2 linked regions of the Alligator mississippiensis genome follow. The protein of the gene in region 2 interacts with the protein of the main gene of each other region in a biochemical or structural test. Links are inferred from orthologs where the notes say so. Each region holds a gene or a part of one and is shown on either strand. Other genes may lie near its edges.

What was found.
Region 1: the proteins of MYO5B (region 2) and RAB11FIP2 form a complex in vitro, tested with the Homo sapiens proteins (2 studies listed by BioGRID). The link is inferred for Alligator mississippiensis from reciprocal best matches to the Homo sapiens genes MYO5B and RAB11FIP2.

The regions. Positions count from the first base shown.
Region 1 is NC_081829.1:88,734,229-88,741,154, forward strand, and holds the start of RAB11FIP2 (rab11 family-interacting protein 2), read left to right. Parts: upstream 1-3,919; 5' UTR 3,920-4,148; coding exon 4,149-4,498; intron 4,499-6,926. UniProt on the Homo sapiens protein: A Rab11 effector binding preferentially phosphatidylinositol 3,4,5-trisphosphate (PtdInsP3) and phosphatidic acid (PA) and acting in the regulation of the transport of vesicles from the endosomal recycling compartment (ERC) to the plasma membrane.
Region 2 is NC_081826.1:288,437,763-288,445,381, reverse strand, and holds the start of MYO5B (unconventional myosin-Vb), read right to left. Parts: upstream 3,009-7,619; 5' UTR 2,927-3,008; coding exon 2,900-2,926; intron 2,695-2,899; exon of another isoform or gene 1,835-2,694; intron 1-1,834. UniProt on the Homo sapiens protein: May be involved in vesicular trafficking via its association with the CART complex. The CART complex is necessary for efficient transferrin receptor recycling but not for EGFR degradation.

The sequences.
Region 1 (6,926 bases), on a different chromosome or scaffold from region 2:
TGGGTGTAGACATGGAAGAAGTAGGGGTTGTATAGCCAATAACTTCCCAACCACATCATATAAGTCGGAAACTGGAAAACAAAAATGTGGAACAGGTATAACCTCAGGTGAGGTGCTGGAGGTGTTGGGAAGCAAGACTAATATTCTGCTACAGGTTTGAGAAGGTAGAGATGTGCCAGTCTAATGCACAATAATTTCCATGGGCTCTTTCTATGTTGCTTCTTATTCACGGGACATAACAGTTTACATTAGATACATCAGTATAGTGAGAAGTGATAGCATACCATGGGGGATTGAGGATGGGAAAACTACAAAAGAGCAGGGAAAAACAAAGGTTTTAACTATATGTTAAAAATGTTCGTGGCACTTTCCCCAAGAGATAGCAAGCAATTCCTGATGTCTACCTTAAATGTCAAATGAGTAAATATAGTCGATCTAAAAATCCCCTGTAGTTATGGTTGGAGAAGGTGTTCTTCATGCTTGTTTCAGAAGTAATGCAATGTAGAATGTGTCCTTTAAACAGAATTTGTATATGGTAAAATTAATTTTAAGGAATAAGCCAACTATATGTTCCTTGCTAAAGATATAATCAAGGTTTCCAGTGAACTGCCTCACTAAGCCAAGCCTTCTGCAAAACACCATTGTCAAGTCCCTATAATGCTTCCAAAAATTATCTATCATTCCCACTTTTTATAAAGATCCTGGCTAACTCTCCCTTCCTCAGTCATGGCCATTCATCCTTCCATGATGCTATGCTCTCACTATTCCCCCCTCCCAAGCCCCAGATATTCACACACATCTGGGGCAAGAAAATTGAGGAAGCTGGAAGGGATATGAAAGAGGCAAGGGATATGCATGTGTGCTTATTTGAGAAATGGGGTGTAGGTTGTAGCCGTGTCGGTCTAAGGACATATTTGAGAACTGGTTGCCCATCCTGCACGATGAATGTACAACCTTAACTCTGACCATAACCATAGTATGTCCGTGCAAGCACACATGCAAACTTACAATGATAGTTTATGCATAAAATGCTGAATGTGTAACAATCTTTTAATACAGATCATTCATTCAGGTAAGTTTTCTCAACCTTACTAGGAAAACAATTTGCAGTCTGACACCATTTCAAAGCACATACCAACACAAAGCTACATCCATTGTAACTGATGAAAGTCACACTGCCGCTATATTAATCAGCAAAATACATGAACAAATCACCAGCCCACAGTCAAAGCTTGAGGGCTCCTGGAACTTTTTTGAGATAACTGTGACAATGCAGAAGCTGTGGGCGTAAGAAATGAAGCTAAGGTTACAAAGAGGAACTGATGACTAAAATGTGGACAAAGCATCAAATGACTTAGCTGCTGATTCCCTTGCTTGTTGTGGTTTCTTTGGTGGAATGTGCAGTACTGCAACATTAAATGTGTCATTTTTTTTATAGAATAACAGTTAATACTGTGCATTAGTCTACACCCTCTCCCAAGCTTCCAGAGATCCTTTAAAACACGTTATGTTTTAAATTATTTTTTTATTTAAAATGAAAGTTATCAAGCCAGGATGACATGCAAAAAAAAAAAAAAAAATTAAAAAAACCCTTAAGAAATGGCGTTTCTCTAAACTAACATTGCAAAACCCTTAATCACAAGATGGAAATGATTTGGAAAACTTCCTTTAAAGCAGCAGAAAGGAGTGACAAGTTTGGGGTGGCTCAGACCCTCAGATTAGCTGCATGAGCCTGTGGACAGCCAGGACCCATTCCTAAACAGACACTCAGACCCCACCGTCGAAGACTGTTTTAAAATGGGACTGACTAAGTGAAACATACTGGTACTACAGGAAGACAGAAGAGGATGATGGGAAAGAAATGGCAGACCTCAACTGGTGGAAAGGGGTCTGGCATAGACTTTTACAGGAGTAGACCCTCTTAGCAGGGTAGTGGGTGGTGGGGGTATGGGTATGCAGATGGGTACATGGGTGTGCGGTTGCACGGTGTGAACTGTGTAACAGGTTTTTAGTGTGCTTTGAGCTGCCAAGTCAACCACAAGGGCCACCTGGGAGAGCGTTGGAGGTGGAGTTATATATGTATCTATCTCTATCTAGATATCTATCTCTATTTCTATATATAGAGATAGATCTATATTTAGATCTATCTATATATTTGCAAAAAAACAAAGAGCAGACAAAAAAAAACTAGCTGCCTGAGCCTTGATATGGCCTTTTAATACAGAAGTGCAGTGACTGGGTGGGGGGGAAAGTTTCACAACAGGAGCTGCTGAAGGATGCGAACGGGGGCAAACTGGGGGAACATGTTCAGTGTCTTGTTTAACCCGTGCTGCTGGATTTTTGGTTGTAGCCATGTTGGTCCAAAGCAGCTGTTCCCAAACTCTGACAGATGGCATGCTGCAAATTTAAAACAACACAACCTTATGTACCACCAGCAAATTTTTCAGTTCAACCTTAAGTACCAGCTGCAAATATTTATCATATAAAGTAATTCTAATAAATCTGTTACCTGACCAGTGGCCTGCGTACGACTGGTTTAGGGTGGTCATCAGAGAACAGTCCGGTTGCCCTCTGTCCTCTATTGATACAAAACCAGATACCTTGATGTGTATCAATAGTGGACGGATCCTCTATTGATACGAAACCAGGCACCTTTATGTGCATCGGTAGCAGATGGATCCTCTATTGATACAAAACTAGAAGTCTTTGTGTGCATCGATAGTGGACGTTTCCTCTATTGATATGAAACTGGACGCATTTATGTGTATCAATAGAGGATATATCCTCTATTGATACGAAACCAGACGCCTTTACATGTATCGATAGCAGATGTATCCTCTATTGATATGAAACCGGGCGCCTTTACATGTATCGATAGCAGACGTATCCTCTATTGATAGGAAACCAGATGCCTTTACATGTATTGATAGCAGACGTATCCTCTATTGATAGGAAACCAGACGCTTTTAAGTTTATCGATAGCAGACGTATCCTCTATTGATAGGAAACCAAACGCTTTTACGTTTATCGATAGCAGACGTATCCTCTATTGATAGGAAACCAGACGCTTTTACGTTTATCGATAGCAGACGTATCCTCTATTGATAGGAAACCAAACGCTTTTACGTTTATCGATAGCAGACGTATCCTCTATTGATAGGAAACCAGACACCTTTACATGTATCGATAACAGGCATATCCTCTATTGATAGGAAACCAGACACCTTTACATGTATCGATAACAGGCATATCCTCTATTGATAGGAAACCAGACGCTTTTACGTGTATCGATAGCAGACATATCTTCTATCGATACAAAACTGGATGCCTTCATGTGTATCGATAGCGGACGTATCCTCCATTGATACGAACCCGGACGCCTTTATTTCCTCTATTGTTCTCTTCAAGAAAAAGAGCCATCTCTATTCTTCTCTTCATCAAACATCAAGGCATCCAGTTTCGTATCAAGAGGCCAGAATAGCAGAAAACCACGATGGCCACCCTCCCGGTGGTACCCGTGCCGCACACCGGGACACGGCCGCCGCGTGCCCCCGGCACTCGGTGACCACCGCAGACGGCGCCTTTCCGCAGGGGGTGCACGCGCAGACCCCAACACGTTGCCCATGTCCTCTACGACGCCCCCTACAGACGGGGCAGCGCGGCTGTTCAAGTTCTCGACCCTCATAAAAGATGACCCAAGAGCCCGGCTGCCACCTTGTTCCCCCCCAAGGGGTGAAGATCCCACACTGTGGGGGGAATTTTCCCCTTGCCTTGGCTGTCACCTCCCCCTCCCAGGCGGTCTCCGCAGCCCGCGAGCGCGGGGCGCCCCCTGCCACGTGCGTCCGCGCTCGCCCCGCCCCCTGCCCGCAGCCCCGCCCCCTGCCCTCTGCCCCCTGCCCCCTGCCCCTGCCCGGCGCGGCGGCCTGAGGGACTGGGAAGGCGGAAGTGGCGGCGCGGTGCGGCGCGGTGAAGCGCCGGCCCCGGCGGGCGGGCGGGCGGAGGCCTCTGCACATCATCCCCGCGGCTGCTGATTTGGGAGAACCCCCCCTCAGGGTATGAGCAGCGGCTCCTCGTCTGCTCCGGGGCCCCGGGTTTAAAGCCCCCCGCGCCGGTTTGTATTTGCCCCCCGCCCCGCGCCGGCCGAGAGGATGCTGTCCGAGCAAGCCCAGCGGTGGTTCCCCACCCACGTGCAGGTCACGGTGCTGCAAGCCAAAGCCCTGAAGCCCAAAGGCAAGAACGGCACCAACGACACGTACACCATCATCCAGCTGGGCAAGGAGAAGTACTCCACCTCGGTGGCCGAGAAGACGCTGGATCCGGTGTGGAAAGAAGAGGCCTCGTTTGAGCTGCCGGGATTACTGGTGCAAGGCAGCCCCGAGAAGTACATCCTCTGCCTGGTGGTCATGCACAGGTCGCTGGTGGGGCTGGACAAGTTTTTGGGGCAGGTGGCTATCAATTTGAACGCAATCTTTGAGGACAAGCAACGGAGGAAAACGGAGTAAGTGCCCTTTTCGTCTTGTTGGGCTGGCTCGCGTTGATCCGGCTCCGTGCCCCAAATTAAACCGAGCAGGTGCATAACGCGCTGTCCTGCCGGCGGGACCCGGGTGCGGGCGTAGCTGCCCCGAAGTCAGCGGGGCTTTCGGACATCTCCGTCCTTTAAAAAAAAAATGTTATTTTTAATATACGCTGTGAATGTTATGTTTTTAATTTTTCTCTTGCTTCTGAATAGTGCCGCTGTTATCAAGGTGGGCGGCAAAGTTTGAACCGGGGTCGCAACTCGGATTCGTTCAAACTCCGTCATGCGTGTCGCATCGCTTTGCCTAATATAATATCCGTATTGGATTCGTTCAAACTTTGTCGTGTGTCGCATCACTTTGCCTAATATAGTCTCTGTTTTGGATTCGTTCAAACTGCATCATGTGGGTCACATCAATTTGAATAAATCTAGTACAGGCGTTATATTCGGCAAGCTCCATCACGTGTGTCGCATCACTTTGCCTAATACAGTGTCTGTTTTGGATTCGTTCAAACTTTGTCGTGTGTAGCATTACTTGGCGTAATATAGTGTCCGTATTGGGTTAGTTCAAACTCCATCATGTGTGTAGCATCACTTTGAATAAATCTAGTACAGGCATTATATTAGGCAAGCTCCATCATGCATGTCACATCACTTTGCCTAATATAGTGTCTGTATTGGATTCGTTCAAACTTTGTCGTGTGTAGCATCACTTTGCCTAATATAATGTCCGTATTGGATTCGTTCAAACTCTGTCATGTGTGTCACATCACTTTGCCTAATATAGTCTCCGTTTTGGATTCGTTCAAACTCCGTCATGTGTGTCACATCACTTTGAATAAATCTAGTACGGGCATTATATTAGGCAAGCTCCATCATGCGTGTTGCATCACTTTGCCTAATGTAGTGTCCGTATTGGATTCGTTCAAACTTTGTCGTGTGTAGCATCACTTTGCCTAATATAATGTCCGTATTGGATTCGTTCAAACTCCATCATGTGTGTCGCATCACTTTGAATAAATCTAGTACGGGCATTATATTAGGCAAGCTCCATCATGCGTGTCACATCACTGCCTAATATAGTGTCTGTATTGGATTCGTTCAAACTCCATCATGTGTGTAGCATCACTTTGCCTAATATAACGTCTGTATTGGGTTTGTTCAAACTCTGTCACGTGTTTAAACTCCATCATGTTCAAACTCATATAGTGTCCATATTAACATCTGTTGCAAACAGCGTGATTCTAGTTTGTCCAAGCTTATTCATTTGGTCGTCTTTGAACTCTGGTTCAAGCTTGCCGTGGTAGCCTCGTACTTTTCTGATGCTCAGTAGATCTTGGGCCTTAATCTTGCTTGCTACTTTATGCTGCAGGCCCATGCAGAGTAACTGGTAGAGAAGTTTCTGCTCTAGCAGGAACTTCCATGAGTTTTGTTAAATCAAATTGTGATTTTTTTTTTTCCCTTAACAAATTCTGAATGCCAAATGGAAATAATGGCTCTTTTAGGTTTATAAATAGCATTTTGTGCAGTAAGGGTGCTTAATCAAGCACAGCAATGTAAAGACTGATCAACACTCAGATCTTTGTTTTGTAATACTAATTTAAATTGTGCTGTTAGGGCTCTGTGTCTTTTTTTTCCCCTTTTTTACTAATTAACTGTTATGGCCCCTAATGTGGCCACAGTTACATTGGCATAAAGGTACCAGCATAGGTTATTCCTGTGCATTTATGTTAAAAACTTGTATACGTATGCAGAGCTTTATAGCAGAGTAGCTGTCTACATTAGAGACGTATTGTTTTAACTGTACTGGCCCCAAACACAATATAGTTAAAGCTCTAAGTCACTAGTTTCTACATTTTTAGACGAGAGGAATGCCTTGTTCGACTCAAGGCACCCCTCCATAACTTCAGAATTGAGCAGCATCCCATTTCAAAACCTGGTTAGATGGGGACGAACCTGAGCCTGCACTTACCTTCTCACACCTGCTTTTCTCCTTGCGGCATCCTTCAAAAGATCTTGCTGCACCCCAAGGTGCCCTGGCACCCTGGTTGAAAATTACTGCTTTAAGTTAAAAATATGGTTTTGAAACTCTGGGCCTGCTTGCATGCTTTCTACTCCAATGAATCAATGGTAGGAGTGTGTTAGGGTGGCATGGGTACTAAGGTGCACGGTTAACAGCCCAGAGGTCTCAAGTTTGAGGCTGCCCGTAGCATGGTCTGTCTGATGCCAATGAATCTGAGTTATGCTAAATACCTTGTCACAAAGGCACAGGAAAGGAAATTTGCAAAAGCAAGGTGTAACTTTATAGATTGAATGTACTCTTTTTTTTTTTTTAACATAAACTATAACAAAAATTGTTCCTTGTCTCACTGTCTTGACTTCACAAACTGAGGTAATTAACAGGGTTTTT
Region 2 (7,619 bases):
TTGTCCTCTGCTAATCGGGAATTTCTTACATCTCTTCCTTGCGGTCTGCTCAAGTTACTAAATCATGCTTTCAGGCATGTTCAAGGAGTGCAGTTACAACAGTCAACACATTTGAAAGAAAGAGAAAGAAAGTTCTCTCCAATTGGAGCTGTGACGCGCCGAAGCCGAAAGTGTCCATAGTCCTTCACCAGTTCAAGGGCTCAACTCTGAAAGTCCTTCCTTACAGGAAATAGTTTCACACAATCCAAAGGAAACTCGTGCGTGAACGTAGTTCATCGTACAAGACTCGGGCGATCATGGACCTATTTAGCACCGACAGGGCGATGACCAAAAAAAAAGTTCATAAACTATGCTACAACAGATTTCCATAAAGCTTGGGACAATTCTACGTGGCAATACCACACAGCCAGCCGTACAGTCAAATCATGGAAGTCAGAGAAAAAACAGTGAGGAAGACGTACATAGAAAGAAAGAGGTCAAGTACCTGCTCAGGGCAGGATCACTACTAAAAACTGCTAACATTCAGAGCCAAGTATGGGTGGGCAGACGGGCACAAATTCCTCGAAAGACATGATTCCAGACTGGTGACTGCTGAGCCACCACGCCGACTGGGATCAAAGCAAAACGCCAGCACTTCTACAACCTTCCAGCAAAAGCTATTTGTAGGTCAGCGGCATGCAGTTCTCCTATGCCTGTACCTCACATTATTTCAAATGAATCAGATGGAAAGACCCTAGGGAAATATTCTTATTAAAAAGGTATAAATAAAAGCCCATAAACAAAGGCAGGATTCTCCATCTAAAACCATTTTCATTCCGTCTCACGCAGGCAAGTCTCCTGTTGACGTAGCCTGAATGATTACAGTGAACTTGGTAACATCTATAAAGCTTGCTCTTTTTTTCTTGTAAGCCTGTCTATGCCCCTTGTTTAAAAAAAAAAAAAAAGCATCCATCCTCCAAAAAAACCACGCTAACTCAATGCAATTTGGCTCTGCTCACTTCTTTGGAAAAGAAACTTTGTCTGATGTGAGGACACACATTTCTCCTTGTCTGAAAGGACATTTATGGTAGGGAAGGATTTCTCGGAGCTCTCTAGAGCAGCATGCCCCTGCCCTTGGAGAGACAATCCTGTCCGTAGGAGTGCTCAGAGGTCCTCCATGCATACAAGACTTCCCTTTCTTATTTGAAATGGGAAGCAGCTTCCAACAAAGAACAAGCATAAAAATGCAAGAGAAAAATAGGACATATTTATTTCCTTAGCAGCTATATCCTTCCCAGTGCTCCAGCGGGGCTTGATGAACATGTGAAAGAGCCAGGACAGATCACACAGGAGCAAGTCCCGTTTCCCCTGCAACATGTGCTCTTGGGACACACCTGAGAAGTGTGCACGCCGATGTAGTCCCCACGCACTCGCAACGTAAAGAATGGTGTGCACCTCGGTGACCGGCAGGTATTACCATTGTAAGTACCTGCCACTACCCCCGTCCCGACCACAAGTCTTACTGATCTGCCTTCAGCCAATGCTACCTTTTCTCCCCCTGCCTCTCTCAGGCAGGCAGAAATTCTGCCCTCCTAGAACAGGAGCAGTTTCCTTCTCCTCCACTGCCCCAAAACCAAAGTCGGCAAAGCAAGGACTAAGATCAGACTGAGCTTAGGAAAAAAGTGACCTCCCTCTGTTCATTGCATCTTGCTTAGTTAGCAACTTCCCCATGTCAATTAACAGTGGAGAAGGAAAGGGGGGGGGGGGGAGAAAGAGATATTCTTTCCCCTGCCGACACTCGTTGGATCTCTAAAGATTACTTGTGTGCTGTTTTCAGCTGAGAGTTTTCTTCGCAAGTCACAGGCCTGCAGCGCGCACTGGACCCCAGGGAGTCTGCATAACCGGATCTGCTCAGCCGAGCGCCACACTTAACACTGATCAACAACCGCACACTTGCACGACAGCTTCCGAGTCCTACCCCCAGGCGCTCCCAGCACCTATGGCTCAGATTCCCAACCGGACGCTGAGGCAGAGGAACTTCACCAAAGGCTGGGAAGGAGGAGGAACAGGAGCGGAGGCAGAAACCAGGATAATACAGTTGGGTACGCTCTCCACTCCCGATCACACAGCCTCCCAGGGTGAAGCCGCACTTGCCTTGAACGTTTAGCAAACAAAAACACAAAGACCAAGCAATGCAAATAAAAAAAATCCAAAACAACAAAACACCGGACCAGGAATATTAAACGATATCCTTCCCTACGCTGTCTCCACTTAAAATCTGGGCTCTCGCACAAGGAGCGCGAGACAGAAGCACATCAGTGCCGTGACCGGCTGGGACACTAAGGAGAGCCGCCCTGAATGAGTTTGGTTTTTCTTTTACTCCCGTACCACAAGACACGCCGGGATCAGCGCAGCACAGCCGTGCTGCTGACTTTAACCCTTTTACTTGATGCTGCTTTGACACGGTTGATAAGTTTCTAGAACAGGGACAGATCCCGTTGTGGCTGTGTGCGGCTGGGACACCGCTAAGGACACCCCACGCTGCCCAGGGACAGCCCGCGCGCGGGGAGCGCAGCGTCTCGCTCGCCCGCCCGGGCTCGGGGCGGCCCGGCCCCCGCAACCATTCGCACGGTTTCCACCGAGGCGGGTCCTGAGGAAATCCTGGCAGTCGGACTACGACCACCGAGTCGGGGAGGGGGGCTGTCACCCGCGCAGGTGGGCTGCGGGCAGGGGACGGCGGTTGGCCCCGGGCTGGGGGCAGGGGAGCCGGCACCTAGAGCGGTTGCAAAGGTCGCAGGGAGGCGGGAGGCGGCCGGCTGTCCCCTCAGGGCCCGGCCTGCCCCGGCACGGCGGCCCCCGGGAGCCCGGGCAGGGCAGTGCAGGGCCGGGCGGGGAAGGGGCGGCGGCGGCAGAGACTCACCTGCGTGTAGAGCTCGCTCACCGACATGTCCGTCCGCCCGGCGCGGGGCGGGGCGGCGCGGGGCGGGGGTGGCGCGGGCGGTCAGGCGGGGCCCGCGGCTGGTGCTGGCGCCATGGCCCGGCCCGGCCCGGCTCCGCTCGCCGCACCCGGAGGCTTCTCGCCGCGACCTCCGCGAGGGATTTATAGCCGGGAGGAGGCGGAGGTGGAGGTGGAGGAAAGGCCCGCCCCGCCCCCAGGCGGGCCCCGCCTCACCCCGCCCCGCCCCCCGCCCTGCCTCAGTGGTCGGGCCTGTGAAATGGGTCCGCGCGCTTTCTTTTCTTTTCTTTTTTCCTTTTTTTTTTTTTTTTTGCTTTTTTTTTCCCGTGTTGCGCTGCGGCGCGTCTCTCGTGCCTTTTCCCAGCTCTTCTGTGACCCAGGACCGGGGAGGCGCTGGCGGCCAAGGGCCAGGGTCATTCCTCTGCTACGTACAAGAAACCGCGCGGGGCCTGTCGTGCGCCCGGACGGTGCCGGCGCTGCGTCCGGGCTGATCTCCAGCGCGGGTCGTTCCTCTGACTGGACGTGCAGTCGTAAAGGAGGACAGTCCTTGTTCTTTCAGTCCAGCGCCGTGGTTTTCACTCCTCTTTCTCTCCATTGGCAGACCCCTCAAGGCGTTTGAAGGGAATGTCAAATGCGGGTGCGGACCCTTTGACTCGTCAGTGGGGATCCACGCGCTTTTTGATCAGCGCTGTCTTCCGCGGACCCCTTAGAGATGGTCCGTGCACCCCGGGGGTGCCTGGACCACAGGCTGAAAACCACCGCTCTACATTAGTGTCAGCAACAAAGCAACTGCCTTCTTCAGATGGCAAGTGAAATATGTGTTCATGGGTAGAGCTCAAAGTACTTTACCCCGTTTTACAGATCAGGAAACTGAGGCAGATCTATCAAGCAGTTTGCCTAGAGTCACCCAGCAGGTCCAAGACAGAGCCATGAATATAACCCAGGTCTCCAGGATCCCAGTCCAACACTTTGCCCATTAGACAACACAGCTCTTCTTTCTTCTGAGACTCGTCATGTGTCACATAGTTAATGTGTGCAGCGTGTGCTGTGTCCGCAGAAGGAAGGTGCTATGGAAAGGTTAAAATAAAGGATTATTAATTGTTATTGTTAGGAATCACGTTAAGGTGTCTATAGCATGGGGGCAGCGACCGTGGTGGCAAGGAGCTGGCTCACTGGAGGTCGTGCTCTGCCACAATACTATTTCATGGTCTTTGGTGTGTTTCCTATAAATGACTGGAGATTATGCAGTTTGCTGCATGTCATCAGCATGCAGTGCTGTAGCTGAACAGAAACGCGGACCACGTCTGAACACAGTGAACAGTTCAGTTGCCAGCCTTTTCCCATAGCTCCTCATGCCCTGGCACCATGCAAATATGCTCTTTTTTTTGTCTTGCATCAACACAAAACCTCATTCTCTTTCCCTTCCCACAATTGCTGCCTCGCACCCGAGTGATACATGGGGGCCAGTCGCAGCAGATTTGATATTTGAGCTTGGAGGGGGCAACCTTCATCCACACCAGGGCAACCCCAAAGACAGCCTGCCTCTCCTACCGCCACGGCATTATGCCCTGAATCAGCAGGTGCAGCCTGCAGGCTGGATCCCCACTGCAAAGGGTCCAGCAGAGGTAGAGCTACATTCAGGGAAATGTGGGAAACAACACAGGGAAAAATCAATATGAGAACTGTCAATTTAAAGTGTTGTGAGAAGTTGATAGTCGGCGAATAAAGTTTAAGCACAGCATCGCTCTGTGACTAGCTCCAGGAACATCCTCTCTCAAACACCGTCCATTTGGAGCTTTCTTGTGCCCTCTTCTGGGTAGCCTCAGTCTCTGCAGCAATCTTTATTTAGTAGCAGTTTGCAAGAGATGTATTAGTGGCTCCTATGCAATTCCAACTTCAATCTTCTGTATGTCTCACTTCAAAGTCTAGGATTTAAAGAGACAGATCTGGCACCAGGTGACACTTGGGGCCACAGGTATGTTCCTAGGAAGGGAGAGGCTGTCTCCAAGGGGTTTAAGCCAGGAGAGGGCTGCTGTAAGTCCCATACAGGGGCTACAGAGGTGTCTGGTTGAAATAATAAATCATGACAACACGCAGCTGCCGTTCCATAACAGCGTGCCCTGTTCAGTGGCTCTTCTACCTCCCTGCAGGCTCTACAACTGTAGAGGACCTTGTGCCTGTTTTCTGCTGATAGGCCCCCAGCAGATATCCTACCACTTTGTGAGTGAATCTGGACCATAATAACAGCCTGAGCAGAGGGCTTGGTTGACATCAGCGTATCTATTCTCCATGGTTTTGCCATTAAAGACATGATACTGTTGGGTTTCTTAACCACTGCTGCACTAACTTGATTCCAATCTGGGAATTAACCTGGACAACGTATTTGATTCCTGTACTGTAATTTTTGTAAGACCTTTAAGATTACCATGGAAATCTAGGCAAATATCTATCCACATATGTGAAACTGCTGTAGCTAAATTGGAATAAATTGCAGGGGTACTGTTATGGGAAAGGGTTTCTAATGTAAGCCTAACTTGCTCTTGTTCTTTTATTCAGTTCTGTGATTCTATATCAAACATGGAAAAGGAATAGGAAATACCAATATCATTAGGAACAAAACTGAAAATGAGAGCTGGGCACAGATAACGGCACAGATGCAAAACACAGCAATTCACATGAAATATAGATTAGCGAATTTATTGCACTCATTTAAAACGTTAATTGCAAGTAAAACAAGACTCAGAAATTTGCTGGAAGTCCTGGCTTCTACAAAATTCTCTGGGAAAATTAAAATTTGTTTCCATTCTGGAAACAAACTTTTACACTTGATTTGCAGATGTCTGCTGAAAACATGGAGCCATCTCCCAAATGCTCGGGAAGAGCAAAGCAATGTCATTTTAGGACCATGCATTCAAGATACCAAGCGCTGTTGGCCCAATAGCTTGCATCCAATGTAAAGTCTGCCAAGAGCATCCTGACTCCTGGTCGAGTCCATTTGAGCCATTGGCTGCAGGTCACTGAGCACTAAGGTATAACCCCACTACCCCACTTGTTTCAACTGAATTTTGGCTACCTGTAGCTTCTCCAGTTTGTAGCTGTCCCTAAGTGTCTGCTTTTAAGCCATGTATCCCCACCCTTGTGAAACAGTTCTGCGCTTTCCTAGCCTTGGTGCTTGACTTGTGCTTCTGCCTCCTGCATTTCCACTTGACAACGATGAGAAATGTTACAGTGACAAGGTCCATACTGGAGGGTAAGCCTTGCAGTCTTCTAGCCAGCAACTAAAGTTGTCTTAGCTGACACTGTAAAGATACAAGTAAAACGTCTTTGAGGTATAGTAGCTGGTTTAGTAAGTGGAGCATCCTGCCACCGGCCAATTCAATCAGTGCTTCATAACTGACATTGGCTGTCTGCAGATTGCAAGTGGAGGTAAGTTGCTGAGGCTGGCGCTGACCTTCATAGTCCTAAATAACCATTTGAGAGAACACCTCTGTGGCTGAGCTATCCTGCTGCAGTGGGAGTTAATCAAAGCATGCTCCTAGAGCCCTTTCATAGCAATGCACCTGTCTCTCACCTGCATCCGTTCCACAACAGCCTGGATTGGCTGGTGCTCTGGATATGCTGCAGGGCTTTTCTTCAAGGTCACAGGTGAAGAGGAAAAGGATGTATTTCAGTGTGCGTGGGACAGTGATGAACTTATTTGCATTATGACTGAATTGGGTTTTTTTGGCTACACTTTATTGGATTTTTGTGGCAGGTCTTTCAAGTAACAGTCTGAGCTGTTCAGGTGTCTTTTTTTGGTTATACTATTCTAAAGAAAATGGATTTTTTAAAATCATCAGTACCTGATAGAAGATACTGGAACTGCACGATTGCTGCACAACTTGCTAGGAAGCACATTTCATAACATGACCCTGACTCTCAAACAATATTGACTGTGAGGCAGAGAGCAGCCTGATAAACATAATAATTTAATTAAGTTTTTCTGGGTGCAACAGAGATAGCTCTGCTGTGCATGTCAATGAATGTCTCTGAATTCTAAATCTGCATGTTCCCCCGAATTAAGCGTTTGTCAGAGTTTCATTCTGGCAGCGATATGTGTGCATATTATAATGCCACTGACATCATAAGACCTGGAAGTGAATATCAAAGATGATGTTAGGATGTGTCCCACTCCTGCCTGCCTCTCGTGCTCATTCTTGCAGAGTTCTAGTTCTGCCCTAGAATTGAGGCAAACTGAAGATGGGACAAGGCCTGAAAAAGTCCTCTAAGATTTTTAAGTGGGGCCAGTACATGGTGCATGTGGCCTACAGGAAATTAAATAGCATCACTCTTGGTAGCTGGCCCAGAGGTGCAGGCAACTCTGCTACAGTGCCCATATCACAGCCCAGTCGGCCAGGGGGTCCCTGTCTGGGTCTGGCAGGTGTGCAGCCATGGGGCAGCAGGTCCAAGGGGGCGGATGCTGTTGCAGGTAGCACCAGGTCACAGCCAGGCAGCAGCCCCCACTGCCAGACTACTGCAGTGGGTAGAGGGTGCATCCCTAACCCTTGGGTAGTTAGGGTGCAGCCCTAACCACTCTAGGTCAGGGCTGATTCAGCAGTCCACCTGGCACAAGGAGCTACTGTCCCCAGATACCAACTGGCCGGGCCTCAGAGGCTCCTGTCTCTGCATCTTCCAGAGATTGTGG